Linked DNA regions of Callithrix jacchus. The protein of the gene in region 1 purifies or fractionates together with the protein of each later gene. This does not show direct contact. Links are inferred from orthologs where the notes say so. Each region holds a gene or a part of one and is shown on either strand. Other genes may lie near its edges.

Evidence for each region. The genes of interacting proteins can lie anywhere in the genome.
Region 2: the proteins of BET1 (region 1) and NAPA purify together in Homo sapiens (affinity purification with mass spectrometry; 5 studies listed by BioGRID and IntAct, with this or other methods). This does not show direct contact. The link is inferred for Callithrix jacchus from reciprocal best matches to the Homo sapiens genes BET1 and NAPA.
Region 3: the proteins of BET1 (region 1) and GOSR2 purify together in Homo sapiens (affinity purification with mass spectrometry; 3 studies listed by BioGRID and IntAct, with this or other methods). This does not show direct contact. The link is inferred for Callithrix jacchus from reciprocal best matches to the Homo sapiens genes BET1 and GOSR2.

The regions. Positions count from the first base shown.
Region 1 is NC_133512.1:55,613,269-55,617,564, reverse strand, and holds the start of BET1 (BET1 homolog), read right to left. Parts: upstream 2,804-4,296; 5' UTR 2,795-2,803; coding exon 2,698-2,794; exon of another isoform or gene 2,610-2,697; coding exon of another isoform or gene 2,591-2,609; intron 1-2,590. UniProt on the Homo sapiens protein: Required for vesicular transport from the ER to the Golgi complex. Functions as a SNARE involved in the docking process of ER-derived vesicles with the cis-Golgi membrane.
Region 2 is NC_133523.1:41,452,746-41,456,824, forward strand, and holds the start of NAPA (alpha-soluble NSF attachment protein), read right to left. Parts: upstream 2,831-4,079; 5' UTR 2,680-2,830; coding exon 2,582-2,679; intron 297-2,581; exon of another isoform or gene 181-296; intron 1-180. UniProt on the Homo sapiens protein: Required for vesicular transport between the endoplasmic reticulum and the Golgi apparatus. Together with GNA12 promotes CDH5 localization to plasma membrane.
Region 3 is NC_133506.1:86,055,939-86,060,222, forward strand, and holds the start of GOSR2 (Golgi SNAP receptor complex member 2), read right to left. Parts: upstream 2,831-4,284; 5' UTR 2,496-2,830; coding exon 2,339-2,495; exon of another isoform or gene 2,091-2,338; intron 1-2,090. UniProt on the Homo sapiens protein: Involved in transport of proteins from the cis/medial-Golgi to the trans-Golgi network.

The DNA.
Region 1 (4,296 bases):
TCTTGTTTATTGTACAAAAATATGTTAATGCACATTTCTCCTATTAAAGAGTTGATGTTCTCTCAAATTATGAGCCACCCCAAATACAATGGACAAAAAAACAAAAACAAATAAAATGCTAGAATTGCTATTCTGAACAGAGCCACTTCTCTTCTGGCGGTATACTGCTATGAAAGGTGTAAAAAAGCTAGCGGGTACTGAAGATCATACACAGCCTTTGTTAGTTTAGAAAAATGATTCTTCTTTTGGATAGGTTCTATCAGTAAGCTAACAGAACCATTTAGAGACACATATGAATGTGACAGCTTCTGCCTATGAATATCTATCAGATTCACTACAATCCCAAATTTAAAATTTCAGATCAATATACATTGATACTTAAAAACATGAAAAGAAGTGCAGGCGCAGTGGCTCATGTCTGTAAACCCAGCACTTTGGGAGGCCAATGTGGGTGGATCACCTGAGGTCAGGAGTTCGAGACCAGCCTGACCAACATGGCGAAACCCCGTCTACTAAAAAATACAAAAATTAATCAGGTGTGGTCGTGCACACCTGTAATCCCAAGTACTTGAGAGGCTGAGGCAGGAGAATTGCTTGAACCTGGGAGGTGGAGACTGCAGTGAGCTGCGATTGCAACACTGCACTCCAGCCTGGGCAACAGAGGGAGACTCTGTCTCAAAAAGAAGAAAGAAAAGAAAAAAAAGATAGAAAAGAAGGAAGGGAGGGAGGGAGGAAGAGAGGGAGGGAGGGAGGGAGGGAGGGAAAAGAAAAGAAAAAAATGTGTAAAAAAAGCCTTTGTCACTTCACATCAATATAAATTATAGCAATAGCAGTTACCTAAGTAATCACCTCTCCTCTCAATCACAGGAGAGCGCTTTAAAAAAAAAAAGGAGTATGGGGTAGTGGGCTCTAAATTAGTGAGATTCTAATTTAACTGGCTGAGCTGAGGTCCAGGTAACAATAAGTTTAAAACTTCCCGGGGCTGAGAACCATTTCTCAAGTCATTTTCCTGCAATTTAACATGGCATACTACAACAGAAAAATACTCCAAAGGGCCTAGAGGCCTACTGATGAAATCCAAACTCTTTGGCCATGAAATCCACTCTTCAGCCTCACATGCAAAGATCTCCACAGTGTGATCCTTCATCCCCTACTTCAACCAAACTGGCTTAGTCATAATCCCTTACTTTTTTGAGTTCCCATTTGGAACTCACTTCCCCCACTCTCCATTATTCAAGGTCTACTTCAAATTCCTAAGTCTCCACAAGATACACAAGGATCTTCTCCACAAAGTATACAGTGATCTATATCTGAAGCCTCTGAGACCATCACTTATATGCAGAACTTATCTGGTATTTGGATATATAGCAACTACTTTGTACTATAAGTTATCTTTGCACATATTCCTACTCCACACCTAGACTGGAAGCTTTGGGGAGCACAAAGAGGGCAGCAAACAACTGTAAACCTAGAGCTTACTCAGGCACACAATAAATCCTTTTTTATCATTAATGATGATGAACAAGAAAAACATTTAGGTATATAAAACTAAACTTGCTGAAAATTATTTTTTTTTCTCTTCAATGTACCTGGCCCTACATTCTTTCTATGATCCAAGTAGTCATAAAAACTTCATTAAAAAAAACTTTCTCATACTACAATTTATTAATCGATAACAAGTCTATAGTTATTGGCAACTTTCATTGACTTTAAATATCTGACACTTTTTGGAATTTTTTTTTTTTAAATCTTATAATGACTGAGATAGATAACATTATCTTTTTGCAAATGTTTCATTTATTTTCTGAAGTATACAGCACTCTAATGTAGCAGTCTTATTAGAAAAAAAAATACTGTCCTAAGAGAAAGCTTCAGAACCAGAAAACGCTGCTCTAATAGCTGTATGTTACTATAGAGGACCATTAAAATTCCTTGTGCCTAACTTATTCTTGCTGGTGAGCCAGCTTCCTAAACCCCAAGGTCAAGATCAAATGTTAAGATACCAAACCTTACTACATTCTACTGCCTTAATCATGGCACAAGGTTCAGATAAGAAATCGCCTTTCACCCAGATGTTACAGTTCCAGGACCTTTAACAGTAATGACACGTACATTTACCTTTGTAACTCACTGTTACCAGATTAACGACCATTATCAGTGTGCTTTGCGTGCAACTACCCACTCTTCAAATTCCGCTTCTGAAGAAACAAAGATCCAGGGCCAGTAGAGAAACAGAAACCGAAGTCGGGCTTTGTAAAACACACCAGTGTCCATAACCAAGCTCAGTCAATAACACTAAAACACTCGACCACTGAGATGTCACCTGTACACACCCACCCCAGTCCAATGCTTTCTCTAGCCTACCATCCAAACTTGAATCTGACTCAAACTTAAGGAAACTCCTAGGATCTGGGACAAATGGTGTGTTTCCACTCGACAAGGCCCAAAAGATACCCTCTAAAGATCCTGCTTTTTGGACCAAATGCCAAGAACAAAAGATAGCTCCGATTTGCTCCCGCGCCCCCGCGCTCCCGCGCCCAGCATGGCCGGTTCTAGGGCCCCGAACTTCGAACCTCGGCCCTCTTCTTACCCAGGCCTGCGCGCCTCATCCTGCCAGAGGAGAGAGGAAAAAGGCGGGCGCGGGGGGTTAGGTGGGTAGGAAAGAGCTAGGGGTGACCCGAACCGCGTCTTCAGTACCAGGGCCCCGCGGAACACCAACTTCTTCCAGCAAAGCGCCACGACAGCTGTAGATTCTAAACACCGAGCCGACTGATGGCGTCACTAGGGCGCTCATTGGAGCCCTGGGAAGAAGCCTGAATGGCATTCTGGGAAATGTAGTTCACTGACGCAGAACGTGTCGCAGGTGGCGTGGTGTGAACCCGGTTCCAGGAGCGGACGGGGCTCCGGAAAAGGGGGCGGCTTCGGCTGCGGCTCTAACTCTGGGTTTCTTATCCAACATCCCCGCTGCTTGTCTCGCGGCCCTCCGGGTCGCTGCTTTCAGTTTATTGACCACCAAGTTTAACTTAACAGATCTCCTCCTCCGGGCCCACAAGAGGTTGATTGGGATAACTTTCCTGATTGAGCCTTGTACTCTCTCTTACCTCCAGAGGTAGTGCAGGGAAAGTTAGAGAAGACTTTGTCCACGTTTCTCAGTTTACAAACAAGTAATCCAACATCCACAGAAGTAACAGATTTTGTACCTCATGTATCCAGTAAAGGAGAGAAAACCAGGTTCCTTGGAGTAAGACTCCTGCTCAGATGGGAGCAGCCCAGGAAAAGCGTGGGGTCTCATAGGAGACACTGAATAGTTCCGTTACTGTTACTGCATCTGTTGTATTTGAGGAACCAAGACTTTTAGTTGTTATAGGGAACAAAGGACCCCTAAATTCCCTCCCACTTAACTTTTTTTTTTTTTTAACTTACGCAAATGTTATTGAAATACTGCTTACACAAGGCATTGAGCCAGTTTGGGGGTTTAAAAGCTTGTTGGCGAGTGAAGATGTTGCTGGTATCAGGGTTAATCCTAGAATTTCATTTTGTCTCACCGGATTATTTATCATGAGAATACGGTAATCATGGTTTTCGGAGAAAGAAAAATCTGATACACAGTAGGTAATCAAAATCCACTGGGTATCTCCAGTTTTGTTGTTGCTGCCATATGTATGGTAGTGGAATCGTCTCCACTCCACAAATACGTGATCTCTGATCATTTAGTATTTTCTCATAGTTTCCCAAGACATTATTAACCTTGACCATAATAGTGGCACAAGTCTCTGCATTAAGTTGTTTTTGTATAAAACACATGAAAACTACTTTTAATGAGAGTTATTAACCTGAGAAGGAAGACTTATTCAATAAGGTTTCCATAGGAAAAAAAATCTTCGTTAAAATTAAAACGCCATTTTCTAAAAGCAATGGAATTAAATGAGGATAAAATCAGGGACAATTACAAATAAAAGATGGAGATTCAGTAATAGATGATAGCTAGATATCCCATTACAACTTTTAATCTATGTCCTTTGTTTGATTAAAAAATGCATGTTTTATAATGAAACATGTTTAAAAATTGTCCTAATGAAGGCTTGCTGATAGAAAATGTAGAAATTGTCATTTTTGAAAATCAGTTAATATTTACCAAAACTAATCATTTGAATTACCTAAAATATATTCTTCCTTTACATGGTAGGAAGACATAAGAATGAAATGTAGTTAAAAGGAAAAAATATATGTAATGTACTAAGAATATAACTGAAGTAAGGCAAAGCTAGTTCATATTGAGCTTGTTACCTAAAAAAA
Region 2 (4,079 bases), on another chromosome or scaffold:
CTAGACCTCGGCAGCACCATCCCTGCTGCCTAGAGCACCCTCCCCGGCCCCACTCCCTTAGCAAGTCCTGGGCGTTCCCTGGGGCCTAGCTCACTCCTCACCAGAAGCCTCCATGCAGCTCCCGCTGCTTCCTCTCAGCTCAGCCATTCACACGGATGACATAATCGAGGCCTTCCTTACCGTAATTCTGCTTTACTAGTGTTTGGTGTTCATCTTGCCTTCCCAACCAGGTAGCAAGTGCCCTGGGGCTGACTTAGCTGCTCCCTCCAAGCACACGGTCCAGTACCCACCAATCCCTGGGCCAAAGGGAACAGACACTCAGAGCCACCCAGGAAAACCATCACCAAAAACCCAGCTCGTGGTCCCACCCCCAAACACAGCACTTGAACTTCTCCCCTTATGAAGAAAACACACACATACCCCCTCTCCCTCCTCTCAGCCTCTAAAAGAAAACATTTTTCACCTAATCAATATGGTCCATCAGCCCCGGATGTTTCCCCACACCAGGCAATTCCCGGTCATGTTCTTCAAGTTCTTTTGCTAAACATTATCCAACCTCAAACAAGGGGCGAGGCCCAGAGCCTTTTCCCGTTCTTTCCTCTCTTGGAAAGATCCCTCCACTTCGTGTCTTACCAGCCTCTGCCAGCTTCCTACCATGGTCTCCTCCGATCCCCAGGCCCTCCCCCCAACCCCCTTCTCCAGCCTTCTGCAGACGCTCCCAGTCCTACCACCTTCCCCAGGCTCTGCTTCTGAGTGGCTACCACACATCATCCTCTCTACAAGCCCACTAGTCCTTTCCCAAGCCTCCTCTCTGTTCCCACAGCCTCCCCTTGATCCTTTCAGGACCCCCCATCAGCGCAGATCTCACTCCCCACCTCCCACCCCCTGCCAAACCCTCCCCAGCTCCCTTCTACTTCCTCTGCCCAGAGTCTCATGTGCCTCTCCACCCTATTAAGTCCTCCTGGGTCCCTCTTGTGTTTTATTTCAGCTCCTCTTAGCAAACTCATGCTTCTCCATCTCTCCCTCTTCTGACCCCTCCCAGACCTCTCCGCTCACACTAACTTTGAACCCCTCATCCCTCTGCACGCTCCAAATCTGTTCCTTCTGGAAAGTCACATTAACAACAGCTAACATGTTCAGAGACGTTAACTCCATGCCAGGCTCAATCCTAATACAGCAAATCGCAGGTAGGTTTGGTTCGAGGTCTCCTTTAATGGGGAGACTGAACAATTTACCCAAGGTCATGAAGTGGCAGAGCCACATTTCAAACCTGGCCTCTTGACACTCCTAAGCCACTAGAATTTCTCAGAGGATGGCTGTGTCGCTTTTAGGAGCGAATGCGAGTTTTATGCCATGCCATATGCATTAGTTCTGTCTCCCAAGCCTCTTCCCATCCGTCTTCTCACCATGTCCCTGTCATCATCATCACCATTACTTGAGGATCACACAGCAGGCCTCTGATCCCCCGTTTTGGTTCTTTCTGTCCCTCTGTCTCGCCCTGTTACCCCTCCATCTCCTTGGCCAAGCCACCACCATGTGTTCCCCCACCCAGGAGTCTTTAGCCTCAACCCAGGCCTCCTCAGTCTTTTTGTTTTTCTTTGACATGGAGTCAGTCTCGTACTGTCACGCAGGCTGGAGTGCAACGGTGTGATGTCGGTTCACTGCAACCTCTGCCGTCTGGGTTCAAGTGATTCTCCTGCATCAGCCTCCCGAGTAGCTGGGATAACAGGCACCAGCCACCAGGCCCAGCTAGTTTTTGTATTTTTAGCAGAGAAGGGTTTTCACTACGTTGGTCAGGCTGGTCTCCAACTCCTGACCTCAGTGATTTGCCCACCTCGGCTTCCCAAAGTATTGGGACCTCCTCACTCTTGGCTCCATCATGCGGGTTCCCTGGTTCAGCTGTCTTTAGTCACTGCTAACCAGGGCCGGACTCAACCTAGGCACCCCCCAACACACACTTCAGATGTGTTTCACCACTCCTAGGATCACCAAATTCCCGAGACCCTCCGTCTGGTGTCAGCCTCCTTCAGCCATCACCCTTACTGCCCAGGACCCCCCACAAATCCACTGCCCTGGGGGACTGGAAAGGTCAGTCCCTCGGGCAGGGCGTCCTCAGTCCCAGGACCCATCACGCCGCCTGAGAGCCTTCAGACAGATGCCCCTAGAGCTCCGAAAGGCCTCCGACCTGCCTACTCTCCCGGATTCCCTCCGTCCCCCCCAGGCCAGTCCCCTCCAAAGCTTCAGGACGTATTCCCTCGGTCCAGGTTCTCCCTCGGCCCCCTGGCCTGTCTTTGGCCTGAGTCCCCTTTCTCGCCTCAAGACAGTGTCGCCTTGGCCCGTGTGTCCTCAGCCCATGTCCCTTCCGCCATGTCAGACCGTCTCTCTTCAAACCGTGTTGCCCCGGCCCGAGCCCTTGGCCCTCAGTCTGTGTCCCCTCTGCCGCCTCAGACCATATCACCTCATTCCAGGTTCCTCTCCGTCCCCTCGGCCCGAGCCCTGCGTGCCTAACCCGCCGCCTCCGGCCGTGACTCCTTCGTCCTCTCACCCTAGGTCCCGGCCGACCCCTGAGCCCGGTTCTCACCCAAAGAGGCCGGAGAAGAAGGACTGCGAGTTCTTCACTTTGCGCTCCGCCTCGGCCAACAGCGCCATCGCCTCCGCTTCCTTCCCGGAATTGTCCATGGCGACTACAAAGAGACTCAACAAGGCGCTCAACCCCGACCCTGGGAGGACTCAGCCGCGGCCGGGCCGCGGAAAACAGGTCGGGAAAGCTCGACCTGCTGCGTTGACGTCGCACCGGTGCGCGCTGCTGCAGCCCGGAACCACGTGACTCGCGCTGGCCAACCAGCGGCCTCGTAGCGCGGCGCCCGCTCCGGCGACCACGCCCCAACCTGCCGCACGCCGCCAGTGACTCAAGACCCCCCAATTGGCGTCCCGAGACCTCAACGCATGCGCACACACCCGCGAACGGTGCCCCTGCGGAAGGCAACGGCGGAAGGCAATGGCAGTTCGCACCGCCGAGGCCCCGCCCCACGGTGCTGAAGCTGAATCCTCCTTCACCAATCAGCAGAAGCCCTCGACTCGCGTTGTGCGCCCCCCGCCGCGGAAGTCCGGCGCAGTCAGCTGACCGCGGACACTCACGTGACAGCTCGGGGTCCACGCCCGGATTTGACGGCTCTGCGCAGAGCTTAGTCCCGCCCCCTCGGTTAGTTTCGCGGGTTTCTTCACTGGGAAAGCCGTTTGGAGGAAAAGGAAACAGGACTACTTTTTTTTTTTGCTCCCTCTCCCGGCCAATACTGGAACTGCTTCGGGGAGACCAGTGAAGTAGTTCAGAGACGGGAAACAAAAACTTTAGAGATCCTTTAACTCTCTGGCTTCAGAAAAAGTAGCTGAAGAGGGCCGGGCGCGGTGGGTCACGCCTGTAATCCCAGCACTTTGGGAGGCCGAGGCGGGCGGATCACTTCAGCCAGGCCAACATGTCAAAGCCCTGTCTCTACTAAAATACAAATAGGAGCCCAGCATGGTGGTGCACGCCTGTAATCCTGGCTACTCGGGAGGCTGAGGCAGGAGAATCACTTGAACTGTGGAGGCAGAGGTTGCAGTGAGCCGAGATCGCGCCACTGCGCTCTAACCTGGACGACAGAGTGAGACTTCGTCCCAAAAAATAAATAAATAGGCCAGGCGCGGGGGCTCAGGCCTATAATCCCAGCATTTTGGGAGTCCAAGGTGGGTGGATCACGAGGTTAGGAAATCGAGACTATCCTGGCTAATCACGGTGAAACCCCATCTCTACTAAAAATACAAAAAATTAGCTGGGCGTGGTGCTCAGGAGGCTGACGCAGGAGAGTCGTTTCAACCCGGGAGGCAAACGTTGCAGTGAACCGAGATCGTGCCACTGCACTCCAGCTTGGGAGACAGAGTGAGACTCTGCCTCACAAAACAAAAACAAAGAAGGGTTTTTACTTCCGGGACCTTCCAATCTAAGCATAAAAAAAACACTCTAGACAAATTCCAGTTGAGCCACATCCTCCAAAATATCTGCATAGTACTCCTCCAAACTGTTGGTGGCCGCGTTGTGTCAC
Region 3 (4,284 bases), on another chromosome or scaffold:
CCACGTGTTTCCTGTGAAAGTAATTCAGTCACCAGTTCTGTATCATGGAACTGAAAGGAGCGTTACAGTTTAACCAGCCCACACTATAACAGCACTCTAAGGATGAGGAAAAACAAGGATGTCTAGAACCAGAACTCCCACTCCTAGCGCAGCACTTGAGAAAAAAGAAGATACTGCAGCATGAAACAAGGTAAACTCCTCGAGGGCACGGCTGTGCTGCCAGCACTGAGAACAGTACATAGCACATAGCAGGTGCTCAATAAATATTCATTGAATGAATGAGTGTCAGGGTAATAGAGAGCCTGATAATTATGAAGAAAGCTACACTGCAGCTTGTTTTGATAAATTGTACTGGAACACAGGTACTCAATTAGTTTACATATTATGTATGGCTGTTTTCCCGATAAAACAGCAGAGCAGTCACTACCGAGACTGTATAGACAACAAAGCCTAAAATATTTACTATCTTAAAACTGATCCTTAACAGAAAAAACTGGCAAACTGCTAGAGTCCAAGGGTGCGTTGCTGGAGCTAGAGGCCTACAGAGTTTATCTACACTCCGCACACCTTGTTTGGGGCACCATTTAGTATTCCTCTTCCAAGCTACGAAGATTTCTCTGTGATTATCTGCACTGAAAACAGGTAACAGTCTAAGACTCTCTAAACAAAATTATTCTTGACTATAAAATGGGTCATGGCCTTCTTGGCAACATCCTTTAGCTAAATTAACTAGATAAGACCATACATAACAGATTAACTTCAAGGCACTACTATGCGCATTGTGCCCTGCTACTATAAAAGATCTGCCCTTTCTCAGTAACATGAACACAGTTTTGCTTCATGCTTTTTCTAAATGACTCAGAGGCTAGTTTAAGTCCCTTCCTATAATGTTTATGTGAGAATAGGGCTCCCCAGTGTAAAAGAAAATTGTCATTACAAAGTAGGTTCTGTATTTTCGCCACCCAAATGAAACTCTTCATCGCCAAAATAAAAGAAACCCATAAACTTAGAAAATGAAAGCGTAAGACGATCATCATCCTCTTATTCCTAATGGTCAGGGCCTTTCATTTCCAGGCCTTGGGAGTGTCATTTTAAGTGTTTTAATCAACAAAACTACAGCATAAGTTTGAAAGTTCTTAATAGGATTCTTAACAGGATAGGTATATACCTCAAAAAATTGAGAAGAGGAACTAAAACTTGTACATGAGCGTTCACAGCAGTTATTATTCTCAATAGCCCATCAACAGATGAATGGATAATAAAATGTGGTAGATACATACAACAACTATTCAGTCATAAAATGGAATGAAATTCTGATAACAGGCTACAAGATAGATGAACTCAGAAAACATTAAGTGAAATAAGCTAGATACAAAAGGAGAAATTCTGTACGACTCCACTTACATAAAGTATCTAGAATAGGTAAATTCACAGAGAGAAGTAGAACAGAGGTTACTAGGTGCTCTGGAAGGAAGAAATGAAGTGCCTGATTAATAACCACAGTTTGGAATGATGAAAAATTTCTGAAAATGGATCGTAGTGATATAAGTTGTGAATGTACTTAATGTCACTGAATTGTACACTTAAAGATTGTTAAAATAGTAAATCTTATGTTGTGTATATTTTACAATAAAAAAAAATCATAACATTCTGTCCCCCCAAAATAGAGTAAGTATGGCCCCATTACCATACTCAACTACGTATCTCAGCAAGTTCCAAAAGTGCAGGACGATGCGAATAAAGGACACTACCAAGGAATTTATTTAAGTTGTGAAAAGCTAAACTAAAATTCGATTTCCTTAGCGATAACCTGTAACCAGATATGATTAACAAGTAAGTAATAGTGAATGCTATGTGGACGGCAATTTCTTTGTACCATAAAAATGTGGTCTTTAGTATAAATCAAGTAAAAATACAAATATTTTCCCGTACGTGCCTTGACTCTCCAAATTAAGCAGTACACTCCTACGGGCAGGGGCCGTGTCTCCTACTCCATGTCTCCTCTCGAGCTCTACCAATCCGGAGCACCGACTAGGCGCCGGACAAAGTTTTATAACCTGCAGGTGCCACTTTCCCCTCACCCAGTTTACCCAGTAGGTAGTCACGGGCTTGCAGACCCCAGAAGCCATCTGCCCCACGTCTCCAGGCCCCAGGCTGGACCGGCTGATCTGGGCGTCCCGCCAGGGATTAAGTACTTCGGAGGCATCCCCAGCAGTGCCCTGGCAGAAAAACTCGGCCTCTTCTGCCCCAGCGGACGTCCGAGGCCCCAGCTCCAGAAGCAGGCCTCACCTGGCCTAGCCTCGCCTAGCCCCCGCCCGCTCCCCGACGCGGCCCTCACTTGTGCGTTTGCTGGTACAGGGTATCCATGTCGCCGGCCCCGCAGGCCACGGATGCGGCTCTGGCTTCCTCGAACACGTCCTCACAGCCCCACTTCCGGCTTCCGGTCTCAGGACCCTCCCTCCCCAGCCGGCCAGGGCTGCCCGCACGCGCGCCATACTAACAGTGGTTGCGAGATCGGAGAAGAGGAAGGAGAAATGAGGCCGGCGATGGAAGGATAAGTGTGGTCACAGGCTCGGTTTCACGTGAAGACCAAGGAGGTGTAGGTGTTCGCTGACGGCTAGCCTCAGTATTCGGTCAGGCATTAGGAAAGACAGTCGCGGGATACTGACTAGAAGTCCTCAGAGCAAAGTTGCAGGCGAGTAGGGACACCTGGTCTTCCCTGCCCTAGAGGGACGGGAGGTTCTTGCTTGGCTTCGCTTTAAACTATTTAATCCTGGCTCTGAAGATTTCGCTCTCCACTGGATTCCTTGGCGCATGCTTTTCCTGTCTCGCATTTGTCCACTCACTCTCCCGCCTCCTCTACCCCCCGTTCCTGTTTATCCATCCAATAAACCCACATTGAATGAGTGATTATTTTGTGTCGTGTGTAAAGTGGGGAAAACCGGTTTCCTCCTGCCCTCAGAGAGGTTCTGGTCTGGAAAAGGAAATAAGATATATATACTATAAAAAGACAAAATTACAAGAAATGTAGTTATAGATCTTAACTAGCTATTGCGATCCTAGCACCGGGCAACACCTTATTCTGTAAAATAGAATGAGTATTCTGACGAGCTGACTAAAGGAGATTTTTTTTTATAGACAGAAAAGGGCTGAAAAAAGCAGAAACAAAGAACAAGTTTCAAAGTTATTTTACTTGTATTGGTTAAAGCAGAAGGGACTTCCTTTATCATGGGGATATGGCTATTTTCCCTCTCTTCTGATTTCTCCAAAGGTCAGATGAACAGCTTAATTTTGTGGCTTCGAACTTCAGCAGGAGTGACTATTTTGGTTTGGTCTATTGGGCCTAGTGCATGAGTTCATTCCAAACCAATGGCTTTCTATAAATTTTATATATCAAGATAAACATTCTACAGGAGATTCCAAACATTCCAAAGAAATTGAGCTGAGCTGGTCTCTAGGAGGAGATTTAGGAAAGACTTAGTGAAGGGGTGGCATTTGAGCCGGGGCTGGGATTTGGACACTTCTGCATCTCCACATAGGCTATCCCATTTCCATCCTCCCAAGCTTATCTGCTATTCCTCGCAAACGAGGAGACGTTCTTTTCTTCAACAAGTTGATACTTCTGTTTTCCTGGATCCTGAATCCCACCCAGTTTTGTGTCCCAAGAGACTGTCCGCCCATGTACATTCTTTTCCTAAAATCATGTTTTCACTTATTCTGTCATTGAGCATCTACCATGTACCATGCACAGATATGGGTGACAGAAACAAAAGCAAGACACAGCCCTCAAATCTCCTATATCTCTCATGGTCTGTTGGGAGGACTAATCTAACTTCAAGCTACATTATTAAGTAGAATACATGCTACAATTGATACAAAGTACTATTTCCCTGGGGAGGATCAAAAAGGGATCATGGACAAAATAGCTTACTAATAGGACCTTCAAGAATCAGCAGCATCTTAACAGTGTCTTGCATATACTAACCACTCTGAAAATATTTATTGTATGCAGAAATGAGGAGGGCATTTGAGGCTGAGGGACTAGCTTGAGCAAAGGCAAACAAAAGGAAAGAACATGAATCTCCTCTGGCTGGATTCAGGGTACTTGGGCAATAATAGTATTCGAAGAAAGGTTACAGCCAGATCATAGGAAATCTCTTTTTTGTTTTGAGATGGAGTCTCTCTCAGCTGCCCAGGCTGGAGTGCAATGGCGCAATCTTGGTTCACTACAATCTCCGCCTCCTGGGTTCAAGAGATTCTCCTGCCTCAGCCTCCTGAGGAGCT